Neodiprion lecontei: one gene and its partner. The protein of the gene in region 1 purifies or fractionates together with the protein of each later gene. This does not show direct contact. Links are inferred from orthologs where the notes say so. Each region holds a gene or a part of one and is shown on either strand. Other genes may lie near its edges.

What was found. The genes of interacting proteins can lie anywhere in the genome.
Region 2: the proteins of U2 snRNP-associated SURP motif-containing protein (region 1) and calcium homeostasis endoplasmic reticulum protein purify together in Homo sapiens (affinity purification with mass spectrometry; 4 studies listed by BioGRID and IntAct, with this or other methods). This does not show direct contact. The link is inferred for Neodiprion lecontei from reciprocal best matches to the Homo sapiens genes U2SURP and CHERP.

Annotation. Positions count from the first base shown.
Region 1 is NC_060264.1:17,304,464-17,311,707, reverse strand, and holds the start of U2 snRNP-associated SURP motif-containing protein, read left to right. Parts: upstream 1-3,175; 5' UTR 3,176-3,474; coding exon 3,475-3,498; intron 3,499-3,584; coding exon 3,585-3,701; intron 3,702-4,682; coding exon 4,683-4,779; intron 4,780-5,288; coding exon 5,289-5,606; intron 5,607-6,727; coding exon 6,728-6,792; intron 6,793-6,886; coding exon 6,887-7,052; intron 7,053-7,244.
Region 2 is NC_060263.1:36,425,744-36,433,739, reverse strand, and holds calcium homeostasis endoplasmic reticulum protein, read right to left. Parts: upstream 6,428-7,996; 5' UTR 6,202-6,427; coding exon 6,183-6,201; intron 5,262-6,182; coding exon 5,091-5,261; intron 4,404-5,090; coding exon 3,731-4,403; intron 3,596-3,730; coding exon 3,524-3,595; intron 3,298-3,523; coding exon 2,901-3,297; intron 2,819-2,900; coding exon 2,412-2,818; intron 2,255-2,411; coding exon 1,880-2,254; intron 1,654-1,879; coding exon 1,359-1,653; 3' UTR 1,132-1,358; downstream 1-1,131. Other genes in the region: eukaryotic translation initiation factor 3 subunit G, read left to right, coding at 7,461-7,908. UniProt on the Homo sapiens protein: Involved in calcium homeostasis, growth and proliferation.

The DNA of each region.
Region 1 (7,244 bases):
GAGCTCGCAGACCATCTCTATAAAGCTGGGTTTACATACGTGCGGCGGCATTGAGCGGTGGAGCAGTAACTGATCAAAAGTCATAAAATATAGTGAACCCAGCTTTATAATTTGAATGCCCAAACGGGCCGGAAAATAATCCTGTTCATGAGTACCAAAATTTGAAAATGGTCTTGATGTGCAATGTTAAAGGATGCCAAAGAATTTCGAATCACGATAAACGACACTCCAGCTTCCGATTACCAAAGGATACTGAAACGTTAGTTCTTTGCTGAAACGAAGCAATATTCCGTAGCCGTCTTAACGTCTAATGAACCCTCGAAGATTATCCTAGAGTGTCCTAGCTCCACGTGACCAAACTGATAGGGGTTATAGAGAAGATCAAACTGAGTAAATTAACCCAAAAAACATGTCGTCTCCGAAGTCGCGTTGGCGAGATACGACCGGTTAAAGAAGTCCCGCTAAGCGCCGGCATGTAGGCAACCGAGCATACAGCAGCCACTGGTTAGCGGTCTTGTTGATGCGCACTCATTGCGTGCTTGACTATTGATGCAAAACAAAATGGTTTCAAATTCACGAATTTCAAACGAAAACACTCTTGACATTGAATTTCCCCCAAACACAACAACGAGGACGTGCGATGGAAATAGCCTTATCATTCATTCACGTTGAACTGTATAATCGGTCTCATTCGGTTTTGCATCGTTCTCGTTTAGTATTCTGAGTGGTATATTGCTTCTTTTTTTGTTGACTAGCATGCCGCGATTGACGTTCAATAAACAAGCTGACATGCAACTTGCATACGGAGCTGCAGAAAGAAATTCGCTGTTAGCCCAACGGATTTATGAGCACCGCTTTCCTGATCGAGTACTTCCGCACTACCGTACGTTTACAGCAGTGCATCGGAGGTTCCGTGAGACAGGTTCGTTTTAGATATGTTTCAGGTCATTTTCCAAATCTGTCAAACAGTTTAAATACGAAACATTTTTCGAATTATTTATTATCATTAGGCCTCGCGTAAACCAAGGGAAAAGAGCTGCAGCATTTCGAAAACAACCGGTCAACGAGTTTCCGTGCGGCTGCATCTTCACTTGACATCAGCCGTTCAAAGATTTTTCGAGTTTTGCACGACGATGGGAAAAATCCATTCCAACGGCAGAAAGTTCATGGTCTCTTTCCTGAGGATTAATCTGCTCGGGTCGATTTGTGTTGGTGGTTGTTGGAACGCGACGCGAATGACCCAGAGTTCCTCAACAAAGTTGTTCTCTGATGAGTTCTCATTTACGCGAGAGGGGATGTTTAATTCACGTAACAGTCATGTCTGGATTCAAGTGAACCCTCATGCTACTTTCAAACATGCACATCAGGTAAAATTCGGCGTAAACGCGTAGGCAGGGATTCTTGACAACCAGCTAATTGGAGTTTGTTTCTTACCGTCACGCTTGAATGACCGAATGTACCTAATTCGTCTGAAAGAAGTCCTACCGGAATTCTTGGAGAATGTTGCACTTGGTATCAAGCGCCAAATGTGGATAATAAAATTTGATATCGAAAACACTGTTGTAGGGAATTCTTAAACTCGAAAACGTTCTCCATTTTCATCACGCAGCTTCGTTATTGTATTTGGCGCAAATTCAATGTGCGTTTCGAGCGATCAACAAGACCACTAATCACTGCCTGCTGTATACTCGGTTGCCTACATGCCGGCGCTTAGCGGGACTTTTTTAACCGGTCGTATCTCGCGAACGCGACTTCGGAGACTACGTATTCTTTGAGTGTATTTACTCAGTTTGATATTTTCTATAACCCCTGTTAGTTTGGTCACTTGGAGCTGGGACACCCTGCATCACCATTTCTGTGTTAAAAGTAAAAATAAATGATGTAGCTAATTCATAATTATATATTTATTCTCAAAGTTAAGAATCGTTATTTGCTTCACGTATTCAATTACTATAGTATAAATATCAGTGCACGCTATCTACAAGTTGTATACATCTTTTGTTTACAGGAGTGATAAATGGTTGAAATTCGTTGAACAAAACAATGATTTTTGTCATATTCGAATTTGTACAGACCATTTTGACAATAACCTGATTATAAAGAAATTCCCAAGGCCGTTGTTAGTATGAAATGCTGTACTAACCATTCGTAAGCTTCCTGAGGCAAAATAGTCCCTAAAATCACACAGCCAGAAATCTGTTGAAGGTATATAAATATTGGTTTCTATACCTTGATCGATATATTTTTCGTAATTTCATGTGTCAATGTGGAATTTCGAATTACAAATAAACATACAGGGTCGGGTTTGCTAAAAATAGCAGAACAGAACAGAGTATCACCCGCTCAAACACAGACAATCAATATTCATTCCAATAATGTATCTCAGATAGTGATCTCAGGTGAGGACGGAAAAGTAATTGTAAATATTATCAATGACCCAAGAAACCCAGTAGTTACACATCAGAACGTACAAAAATCAAATCAAACCTTAGCTACTAAGTAAGCATGTTTGATTCTGCTACTGGTATCAATCCAACTAATTGTACATAATAAATTTAAGTTGACATTAATTATCGATCAATACATAATAATTGACATTGTGATATTTGATTAATAATAATTACATCTAAGATTGGATACCGTAATATTATTATAATATCTGGTAACGGTGTGCTGAATACCATAAAAATATTTCTTGCCTATTTGGAATAAAAATTAATTTTTCAATAATGAAATATTTTGGCATCATCTTCCAACGCACACTCCTCTCAATTCACCGTGTCTGATTGTGAGTTTGAAATTGGCGCTAAGGATTGGCCGTTTAAAAGGCTGAATTGAAAGAGGCGCTGAACGCCGTGAACATCATTGTCAACACAAAATTACATTGCGGCCTTATGGCAGCCCCCTGACACTCACCACTGCTCGTATACTAAAAAATTGTACGCGTTTTGTTCCCGTTTTTTAGTTCTTCCACGTGGTGCTAGTAGACTTTAGACACGTCGCTGCCCTCGCTGACCGCGCGCAAGCTTGACAGACAACTACTAGCGCCACTAGTGGTGGAAATTGGCGGCAGAATCGAGGGACATTTTGCGAACCACTGTTAGCAGCATGTGTCAGGGGGCTCAGCGTTCACTCTATCTAATTCTCTTTGCATAAACCATGACATAAAACCTTTTTGCATTCGATGCTTCGGGTTTTTCGAATCGTTGTGTGTCTGCGAAAACTGCTGAATAAAGTTTACTCAGTGACTGACAAATGTAATGTAACATTATAAAGTCCGTGCGGAATTATTTGTCTATTTCGTTCGGCGAGAATTTATGCAGTTGAGACACTTCCATCGATTTTCGTCCCTGCCCGCAAATATCGCGTCGCGAAAGATGAATTTTTAGGTTAAGCTTATCGCGTCGGATTACCCGATTGTATAGCCCTTATATTCATACTTCCACATCAGTCTACATCACAAAAACAGACGAGATGGCGGACAAGGCAATGATGAAGGTACGCCCACCTAATTGTTTTAAATTTGACAGTGAATTATATCGGCACAACACGTACATTCAGCCCTTGCGATTTTAACGTTGCAGCAAATTGCTGAACAGAAGTTGAAAGCGTTCTCCATAGGCACGATGGGAAAGCGGCCTCTCAGCAAAAAAGAACTCGAAGAACAACGAAAAAAGGAACAAGAGCAGGCAGCGGCTCAGGTAGATAAAGTCTCACAAACGGATAAAGAAATTCAATGCTGTCTTTCGCATGGAAGAGGGACTCTGCTAGAGTCGCCTATAAACACAAGGCATTGCAATGTCACTAAATTTTACGATTTTAACATCGATGATCACATGCGTTAGCAACTCTGAAGCAACGCCACTTTAAATTGTAGTATTATTGTAGAAAAAGAATATCATTATTACTGAAAACTTTTGTGATGATTAAAGAATGAAGTAGACGTGCTGTATAAAACAAAAGCTAAGAGAATAGAAAAAAACTGTACAAACAATTTTCAGCCATATTATTTGCGTCAATGGTGGTGAATTTGAATGACATAATATCTTTACTGAGTGTTGGAAATGGATCCGAGTAAATTCAAGTCACATGTACGATATCAACAATTTCAGAATTTAAAATACTTGAGTTTTGGTGTTTTTAATTCGATTTTAATGTTCTTAGACTTATTTTTTGCATAAAAGTTTTCCAAAGATTATTGTACCGTATTTGCAAAAATCTATGGTCATTTTTTTTTGAGAACTATTTGCTAAACATTTGTCAGGCTACCTCTTGTGATCTCTATAGTGAACAAAATAAGCCAAGAAACATTAGAATAGAATGAAAAACACCATAGTTTAATAATTTCAAATATTGTAATTACACCACCTCAAATTGTCGATATCCTTACTAGTGTTTTCCAAATTTACATAAAATCATTTCTATTACATAATAGCGATATTTTTTCATTTGTGTACACCAAGATTAGTGGGCAAAAAATATTGCTGGAGATTGTTTAGATGGTTTTTCACTTTTCCTAATTTCTGATTTATTCTAATAGTGACCAAATTCATTTTATTTTTTTGCGAGATTCGTGTGGCTAGTAACTAGTGCTAACATCAGCGGAGTCACTATCTCAGAATTTACCTATTTTTAAAAGTATTTCTAGCTCGAGAAAAAGTTAACAATTTTTCTTACCTTAGGCTTTTGAAGAGTTTGTCGCAACATTTCAAGAAACTCCTAACAAAACAAGTAATAAAATCTGGGTGAAGGCCGGAACTTACGATGCCGGAAAACGACGTAAGCTTTAGTTATTCAAATTTGAAAATTAATCTTATAACGCTGAAAATGCAGCTTCAATCAAAGTCTGAGAATTCAATGTAAAAAAAATTGCACCTTATGATACGATGTCATCAATTTTCAATTATTCTTGCTGTCATGTATACCTTTGGAACAAAATTGTATTGAATAATTAGAATTAAATTTTTGAAGCACCGGTATGTTCGAACTATTTGCATAGAGAGTTTTTCACAGGTAGTTTGAATTAAATTTAATAAACACTCCTAAAAACATTAACACAATTCCTAAGCAAAAGAAGTCTCGAATTACATCGATGATTCCTGTTTGCTAATTATTTTATTATAATTTTGGAACTGTCCTGGAATTTTATACGTTATTGTTATCTGTTACCTTGTGTTCGTAATTTCTCAGACTTAGGACGTAATCTTTTACACATATCTCAAAATTCGTTGAAACCAAATTGTGCCAAATCTTATTGTAAAATTATTTTTGAAATCTCGTTTACTCAGAGGAGGACACAAGGGAGAAGGGTAAACTTTACAAACCACAGTCAAAAATCTCTGAGCTCGTGGACAACAAATCCTCGGCTGAGCAAGCACAGGAATACGCACGACTGCTTGGTAGCAATGAGAGGAAACTCGACAGATTGGGTAAAAAGAAGAAGGAGGGTGAAAAGAAGAAAAGCAACCTGGAGCTTTTCAAGGAAGAACTTAAAATGATACAGGAAGAGCGGGAGGAAAGACACAAGTACAAGGGAGTAGTGAAAACAGTAATTTCAGCCCAAACTGAGGACCCGATGCTCGCCGCTCTCAAATGCGTCGAAGGTGGTAGATATTTAACCATTACTTAAATTTTTTTTTTATTCTCAATCCATCTCTCAAAATCCTAGTCAATCCAAAGTTCGATTTCTTCATTGAATTATTATAGCCCAAATTCACACTTTAGTCATAGTTATTGAACAGTCTATGGTTTCAACTTCAAATTATTCGTTCCTGGTAGTCTCATTGAGTCGAATTGCAATTTTGCTAGGTACGTGCTTCTATCCAGACCCGCGAAAGGCTAATCTGCGTAACTTCATAGACGATCCTAGTCTCCTAGCCCTGATCTACTCGGGTAATTCCCAATCCCATCCTACAATTTATTTGTCCGCACTTTCAGAGTAATTTTCTTCGTACTTTACACAGAATTCACCCATGGAGTTCATTGTCAATTTTTTTGTGAATTGAAGAAACGTTGCTCTTGATAGAAACACTCAAAATTTAATTATTTTTCCCTAAATTCAAAAATGTTTTGTGTGTCAACTACAAACTTTTACTAACAGGAAAACATTTGTATCTACAGCGTAGTGATTGAAATATCTTGACCTTGATTCATCAGCTATATTTTTATACCAAATCTTGTCAAAAAAATCGTTTGGAATAAATTGAAGAGACTAAATTTCGAATATTTCAAATTCTGTTTAAAACGCTCAATATTTGATTGCCAGCGATTACATTTCATTATCTGTTCCACAATTTTTACTGAGCCAATACTAATCTATGTTTGTATAATACAGATTTATCTCAAAATGCCAACATCGAAACTAACGAAATTGTTTGATTAGCAAAATCTAATAAATTTCTTTTGGATATCTTCAAAAAAGTTTTCGATTTAACGCACATTGCAAACATATGGAAAGAGATAATTAGCCATAGTATCATTGAATTTATGGAGAATAATGTAAGGTAACAGTAAATGTAAGGTACAATATATTATAAAACGTCGTTATTTCAGAAACAAATATTTCTAAAATGCACCGCTTCATGTCTTCTTGATTTGAGCAACGTTTTTTGAATATTAAGAAACGACCGTGATCGCCTTGTGGCTGTGATGGGAATTCTAGAACGGAATTACTCTTCATTGAAAAATAATTAAAAGGATTTTCAAACACATCAATTTGGCTTTACAGATGGTTCCTTTGACAACGGAGATCCAAACACGACAAACTTGTACCTTGGTAATTTGAATCCAAAGGTATGCATTCGCCCTCTTTAAGCTTTTCACAGTACTTTGTGTATCAATTAATTTCCATCTGTGTCCCTCAAAATTGACATTCACTCTCTGACAGATCACAGAACAGCAGTTAATGGAAATATTTGGCAAATATGGACCGCTGGCCAGTATAAAAATCATGTGGCCTCGCAGCGATGAAGAAAAAGCCAGACAAAGGAATTGCGGTTTCGTTGCATTCATGAGTCGCAAGGATGGCGAACGAGCATTAAAAAATCTAAACGGTAAGTCTCTCACTTCCCACTAGCAACAAACTTTGTCCAACAGTGTACAGAAAATCTTTTGCGAAAGGTTTCTTCTTGCATTGAAACTTTCATCACAGAAGATTAACATTTTTTTCGCCGCACATACTACTCTAATGTACATTAGGGTGGTCCTTGTTTAGGGTGTTGATGAATTTTTACCACCCCATCACC
Region 2 (7,996 bases), on another chromosome or scaffold:
ATAAATACAGTTGTTGAATTTTCAACATTTTTTCAAATAAGGCATGTTGTTGCTCCTGGAGAGAAATGCACTGACTTGAGTATATACATATTATACTTTCAACAACTGTAATTGTAAATTAATGATAACGAGTCTATTCTCAGCTCGAAATAATAAACACATAAAATCAGTAATGGGAAATGCAAAATATGTACGTTATAAATAATGAGTAATGTATACGGGTATAGGCAGTTTTCCGTTCTTTGATTAAGTTTTCTCTTCCTTTCTTCATTGCTACAATGTAATATTTCAACCCACCATGATTTCTTTTCGTTTTTATTCTTGTTTCTTATGCGAGATATGCCTGAACTAAGCTTCACTGTTTCTAATTATTGACTTTTAGGTAGTTAAAAAAAAAATCAAAAACCACTAGTCTTTTTACCAACCGCAAATAACCAAAGTTTTATCAATACTTGATCTTAGCTCAAACAGCGAACCACAATTAACTGACATAAATCCTTTTACATGATTCTAATCGAAAGACAATCCGCCATTAATTATTCGTGATTTCTATAATCCATAAATTTGTTTTACTGATCAGGTAAATCAAATTGGTAGTATACAAGCATGCATTCGTTTTTTTAAATTCTGTAACGTTTTTTTTCTTATTTATTCTCCTTTCGTACAGATTATCTTCATTCTATGAACAAATTTCTGTAAACGTATTGACATTGTACACATCATTTGATAACATAATATTCTTGTTGATGCTTGAATGCGCCCTTTCTACTAATTGTTGTTTCTTTTTTTGTGTTGTTTCAGAATAGCAGTTAAAATTGTGAAACGTTCCTCGCAAATAGCTAACGAACTTTTAAACGATGAAATAACTGTGTAGACTTAGTTATTCGTGTAAGAAAACACATTGTGATCCGTACATATAAAAACTGACACATATTGCCGGGGTTGAATACGATAAAGTAATAAATAATATCGTTCAAAAGTCAAAGAATCTTTAAGCTTTGACCATGACTAAAGACCATGCAAAAATCAGGGGCTATCGTTAAGTTTCCATTTTGATGAAACAATAAACAACGTAGTAAGTCTTTTTTAATTATTCCACATTGTTTTAGGGTGTTTTTATACCAAATGGTATGAATGCAAAATCTTTTATTTTACGAAAATGTCTTCCTTCGTCAAGTAAAAAAATGCGTCTCCCTTTTCATTTCTGTTCCTTTGCTCACAAGCAACGGTTACACTGTGTACATCTATATTATGTACACGTACAAGTACGTACACGTGAGTATACGTATAAACAGCCGCACTTTTGTCTTACAATGTCGATATTAGAGACAATATCATATATTTAATTATAAAATAATTCAATCTCGTTCTGCTCTTTCTTCCGCTCTTTCCTCCGCTCTTGCTTTCATTCGCGTGATAAAAGCTTGGCCTTTACTTTTTCTGAAGTTCTCGTACGGGTCATTCAAATTAATCCCAACACCTTTGTACTGGTCATTTTTGTCCCGTATTTCCCCTCCTGATATCGGTGCTTCAATTCCTTGTTCATTTGCACCCAAACCAGCTCCACCCCATCCCATTTTTTTCAATAATTGATGGCCTTTATTACTCTCATCTAAACTTATCTCCTGCTGTGCTTTGCTGTACGTTGATCCCCTATTGAAGTGTATAAGTCAGCATTTCGTTATCACATATTGGTAAAATTCATTTGAATGAAAAATGTACTTTTGTACCGGAACTATATCGAAAAAAGTCAACAAATTGATTTTTCCATTTGACAAAGTTACGAAAAATCGTACAAGGAAACTAACCACGCGAATTTTAAATAATTTTAACTCACTAATTAAGTTTAAAAAAAATATAATGACGTAAATATGCTTACAGAAAACTAGGTGGCGTAGGACTTCGGTCAGATCTGTCCCCTCGCTTGCTGTCTGGACTCCTTTCTTTGTTGCTATTTCTTCTGTTTCTCCTACTCCTGCTATTGTGATTGCTACTATTACGGGAATTGCGCCGGTGATTACTCGTTGGTGATCTAGATCTGCTTCGGCCCTTCGATCTAGACCTGGATCTGCTGCGAGATTTACTTCTGTATCGTTTTTTGGGCGGACTCGGGCTTTTAGATCGTGGCCTTAAAATAGGGGACGGTGATCGAGACCTCTGTCTTAATCCACTCAGAATGTCTTCCTCCTTTCGTTTGCGTGCCGCATTTTTCGCCTTGTAGTACTCATACAGACCGAGTTTCTCCCAGCCGTCACTAAAATTCGATAGTAACAATATAAGCATGCATGCATTTAGTCCAATAGTAATATACCTAACATCAGCGTCACATCGCTGTGAATTGGTGTATTTGCCTGAATATCGTATGTAAATGTGTCGGTATAACATGAAATTATTACTAAACATTGATTTACCTATCCCTGGGTGAATCGTGATTTGGAGGAGCATAAAATGCTTCGACTGCAGCAACTAATCTATCACTCGGTGGAGCCGGTGGTGGAAGTCTTATAGCATCTGGATCTAATGACTTATATTCGCCGTCCTCCAATTTGATGAGTGGGACCATTAAGCCAGCTGGTAATTCGAAGTATGGCATACTAGGCATAAGATCTTCCATGGATGGTTCGTGAATGATCGGTGGAGGGCCAAAGCCAGGTGGTGGTTTAGAGAAGTCCGGTAATGGAACATTGGTAAACGGAGGTGGTTCCGGAGCCCCAGGAACTCCCCAGCCTGGTGGGGGCTGACTAAAATTCATATCACCACCAGACATTGGAGGAGGCGGCCCAGTGTGAGTTGGTGGTATGTTTAAATTTGGTTGGTTCTGTATAAAACATTTTCATTAATTAGAAGCGCGAAACATTTTTTGAATATGCAATATCAGTTTATTTTACAACAAAGCTTACCATTTGCGGTGGCGGAGGTGGTGGAGCTTTAAGCTGCTGATCAATGGAAATTTTCTGCTGCTCTATAGTTTGAATTTGTCTCATAGCATGATTGATGAAGGCCTGATGCTGAGCTTGATAATTTTCAAAAGTCTGTTTGGTTGATGTGGTGATTGGTGTAATGGCACTTGCATGTTTTGAAACTAAACTGGCCTGGTATTCTGACCAAGATATACTCGGTTGCTTCAACTTCTCGATTATTCCATCGTCAAAGTAATTATTTTTAGATTCCCAAAGGCTTAAAAGTTTGTTCAATTTATTAAGCTGTTCATCGGTAGCAGCCAATGACGTGTTGCAGAACATCGGGACAACAACGCTTTCCATTGCTTTGCGAAGATCGATTGATTTTTTCCTCGCACTAAGAAATTGTTTTAAGATTTACAATAATGTATACATGATTATATTGTATGTGTTGGATAAAAAGGTACAGAACCAATTCTAGAATATCTTTTATAAACCAGTTATATGCATTTCCAGTTTGCATTCATTTGACCAGTCTGCTTATCCTACCTTCAGGTAAGCACTGAGTCGAAATAAACTTTTGAAATAATAATCCTCTTTGTGAAATACACTTGTGTGCTTACCAATGATGAAGAACATCGTTTACTAAGTAAATCACGTGTAACTTCTGGCTGAAAGCTGCTCCTTGAATTACTCTAAAATTTATTACAGAAATTACTATAATTCGATTAAAAAAAAAATTAATATGGTTTTGTTGCCGGCTAAGCTTTGATGTGAAATTTTGATAACTTTAAACACATCGAGAAATGGTGATGAACAGATATACATACTTTTTCAGCAAATGCTCAGCGATAACTTGATTGCTTTGTGCTGTGATAGAATTCTGTAGTATCCAAGCCTTTCCGGCACTGATGCTGTCCTTAGTGCAGCTCTCGATAATGGGTTGTAGTACAGAATCAAATGCAGAAAGGTCAGTGTTTGTATGCTGAGCATTATTTTGCAGCGATGCTTCTTGAGCTTGTCTGACAGCCTCCTCGACTCTCCCTTGTTGTTGAGCCATTAAAGCGGCGTGTTGGGCAGCGAGGTTTTGCTCAGATTGCCTAACTTGTTCTCGGAGTGTAGCTTGCTGTGACTGAAGCTGCGCAAGTTCATTTCGCAACCAACCTGAAGGACCGGCAATATTGACACCAGAATTAACTCCTCCGATCGGCGAATTCACGTTCCTTATTGGTCCAGGAATGGCCCCAACAGGTGGTCCCACATTTCCAGGCCCTCCGATTGGTCCTGGAACTCCGGATACTCCGGGTACCCCAGTTATCCCTGGTATAACGGGCCCTGGGTTCCCGACCACTTGGCTTAAACCGTTGTTTTGAGCGCTCAGGCTCGAGGCAAGACTGACGTTATTTTGTGGCGAAGCGACGGCCGCGGCTGTTTGCTGCTGCTGCGAAACGTTTAAACGTGGGTCGGCATTTTGCATTGGATTTATTCCTTTTTGCTTTAAAACTGTAAACGAATGACGGTGGATTATTGCAATTTGTTTTCATTTCTTCATGATATTGAAAAAATAAACTAATGGTCCATGTTTTTTACTTTTTTTTTGTTATTTTTTTGTCATTTTTAATTCGGTTGTTTTTTGGATGAATATCTTCGAATGGCACATATTAATTTTTCTGGCATCATGTAAGAATGCATTAAGTCTACTGTTAAATTTAAAGCGCCACTGAACACAGAATGTGTTGTTTTCTTTCTTTCATCGTGCTACACCAAACAGTTGAGTACAGGAGCATGTATGTAAAACAGATTTTACTGCGGCAGTGTGTAGTACTCTTCATAAACATAAAAGTAGTTGGTATTTTAAACATTTGTATCCTTGCCGATCTAATCTTGGATCAGATAACAATCCTAAAGCTACATCTTGTTCTTATTTGTATTTTAAGAAAGCCCCTTTCACATTTCTAGTTTTTTTCAAGTCTTATAATAAATAACGATTCCCAAAATCTTGAACGATGTCCTGATTTGCACAAATGACATTTTTCATCTCATTGCACGGTGGTGATGTTTTGTTCATTTGACGATTTCATACGTTTTCTCATAGTCGTTTTTTTGTTTTTTTTTTTTTTGGGTTTGCTTCTAGCTCATTGAACGAAGACCTTTTTTTGTACGTTGTTAAGGGGATTTGTTCCCACTTACTGGCTTGCTCCGTTGTCACTTTGTATTGATAGTAGTTAAAGTGCTCTCCGCCAAACAGGAAACCAAACTTCGGGTTATCCTTTTGCTTGTTTTTCGTCATCTGCTCAAACTCTGGTCCGTTACGTGCGACAAATTGAGCCAGCTTGTCTATGATGTTGCGCAAGTCCGTGTCTATTAAATCATTTAAAACAGAACTTTGTTAGAACAATCGGCATCCAACAACAATGTAAGCTTACATCATATTTCATGGAAAAAAAGGATCATCATCTTACCCGGTATTATTTTCTAGACAGATTATTTTCTAAAATATTCAAGAAATCATTATGACATATAAGTACAATATCCTAGTTACAGTTCTGATATAAAAAATAATCCAACATTTAGATAGCTATCCTGTTATTTATTAACTTTAAAATATAAATGGAAACAATATGTAACCATCGCAGAACAAGATATGATATCAAGATAAGGATATCAATATAATGTTATTGCGGTATTGAAGAGTATCAGATATTTCTCTTGAGACAAATCGTTTATGATATAACTTAAAAGATTCTCCAGACTTGTTTGATCGCAATTTAGATGTCGATTACGTGTTGTGAAATGAATATGGAATACAAATATTTACCCTGTTAAAATCATAACCATACCTAAGGTTTGATTAACAGATTGTATATCTTGAAGGGTGATTGTAGGAGAGAAAGCAGCGAACGGACAATGAATGTGAACGTGGAAAACAAAAATAATCACCGATATTTCGCCGAGTGTTGTAAAAGATTCGTAGATAGTCATACTTAGTAATAAATCAAAATTCCAAATTCTCATCGGGGTGCCGATTTCGGCAATTTTAAGGTGGACGTGAGAGGAGCCACATAACCTAATACAATTCCTGTACACAACGATATGTTTGTGTAGCACAGGGTGAGAGAAATCTGCAGTGATTTGTATTTACTCGTCAAGTTGTAAAGGTGGAGAGTAATATTGTATTGATGGGCGAAAAATTAAGCCGAAAAATTAATTGATACGTGATACGTAGTGTGGAAATAATACCGCGCTTCGTTGATTCTTGGGATTGTGATTTTTTTTCTCTACCTGCAGGAGCCTGATCCATTTCTTCTTCGTGGGTACTCGAGACTCGTCGTGTAACGAATAATTCACACTTAATAATGAAACTCTATCGTATTTTCAACTGTAATGTTGTGCCGAAAACCATTATGCTCACGATACAGCGACAACGCTAGACATCGCCATTTTTTTCACTTCGTCTCCCTCGCCGGTGACTCAAGAATGTAAAGACAGTCCCCCTAGTGGACTTTGGTGTGACAACCGAAAATCGTCGTGCGCTTGCGCCCTCTGAGATGTTCCAACGGTAGAGTTGAGAACTTATTGCAGAACATCAGAGAGATACGATTTCGACATGATGCTGGCTGCATTCACCGTGATCCACAGACAACTTATAGCCATTCATCTACATTCGTCGCTAAAGTTTTCGATGTAACGCACAGAGGGAGCAGCGATCGCCCCCAACGCCACTGGCATTTCTTCCATTTTGGCTGATCGTCTATCCGACGGACATATGTACGACGAAGCGTTGTCAAGTTCTTTTAAAATCTTCCAAGTATTACGTTTCGTTACACCGATACCGTTACTCACGGAGAACAGGTAAGTTTGTAATATAATAGTAATATCTGCTATTCCATATCATTTTTCATTAAGGTGCTCAACGCCGGCTGAGATTCCAAAATTTATGACACGTGAGGTTGATCTACTCAAATGCAATTTTCAGTATCTTCTACAATGTTACGATCATTTTACCAGGTTAAAGAGTCTTCCAGTTGCCAAATCATTGTGTCGCGTTTCTAAATTTAATCGACGCTACTTTCATGAATTGATTGGAATGATGGGTATCAATACTCGAGACGTTGCGATACCCTAACCTCAAATAGTTCAATGCTCCATCCTGAGTCGTACTATCCTTTCAAACGCAGAGATATTCTGGATCTCCACCATTCTTTGAAATCCTAAATATACATTTATAAATTTATGAAGATCGTTTACTTTGTAAATTGCTCGCTATTATTCCGTTCGCTATCTACACTTCCTTAATCAATCAGGTGTAAACAAATGTTTCTTAACAATCGAAGGTTCCTGTACAGGGAAATTGATAGTAATTTAAAATCGAAAGTCTTCCGCTTGAATTGGAATTCTTCTAGAGGCTGAAAAGTTTGATAAGTTACAATTAAAAGACATGTGAAACGTTAAAGAGAAACAACTAGTAAAAGGTAGAAAAAACGTTAGGATTGATATACTTGGCCCAACACTATTGTTTACCCATCTACTAGATTAGAGGTGTTTTTCAAACTTGCAGACATGCCGGTAACAGAAGAAGTTAAATCCAGTTGGGCAGATGAAGTTGAGGAAGAAGGAGGAGCACTGCCACCACCGACAGAGGTCTATGAAAATGGATTCAAAATCCTTACAGAATACAAATACAACGAAGACGATAAGAAAGTAAAAGTTGTCCGTACATATAAGGTGGAACGTCGTATAGTATCAAAGACTATAGCCGTGCGGAAAAACTGGGCAAAGTTTGGAGACTCCTCGGACGACAGACCTGGACCAAATCCAGCCACAACTGTCGGAGCAGAAGATGTCTTCATGCAGTTCATTTCAAATAAGGAAGAAGAGAACAAGGTCGAAGAAGACTCACTTGACAAATTGAAGAGTATCGGGGACAAGGGTGTCGTCAAGTGTCGTAACTGCAATGGTGATCACTGGACTTCAAAGTGTCCTTACAAAGACACTATACTCGCTGGAGGTAACTTGATACTGATATTTACCCATTATTTGAAGTTCTTGCATTCACTCATCCAAAAACTTTATAATATTCAGGAGCCCTCGCTATA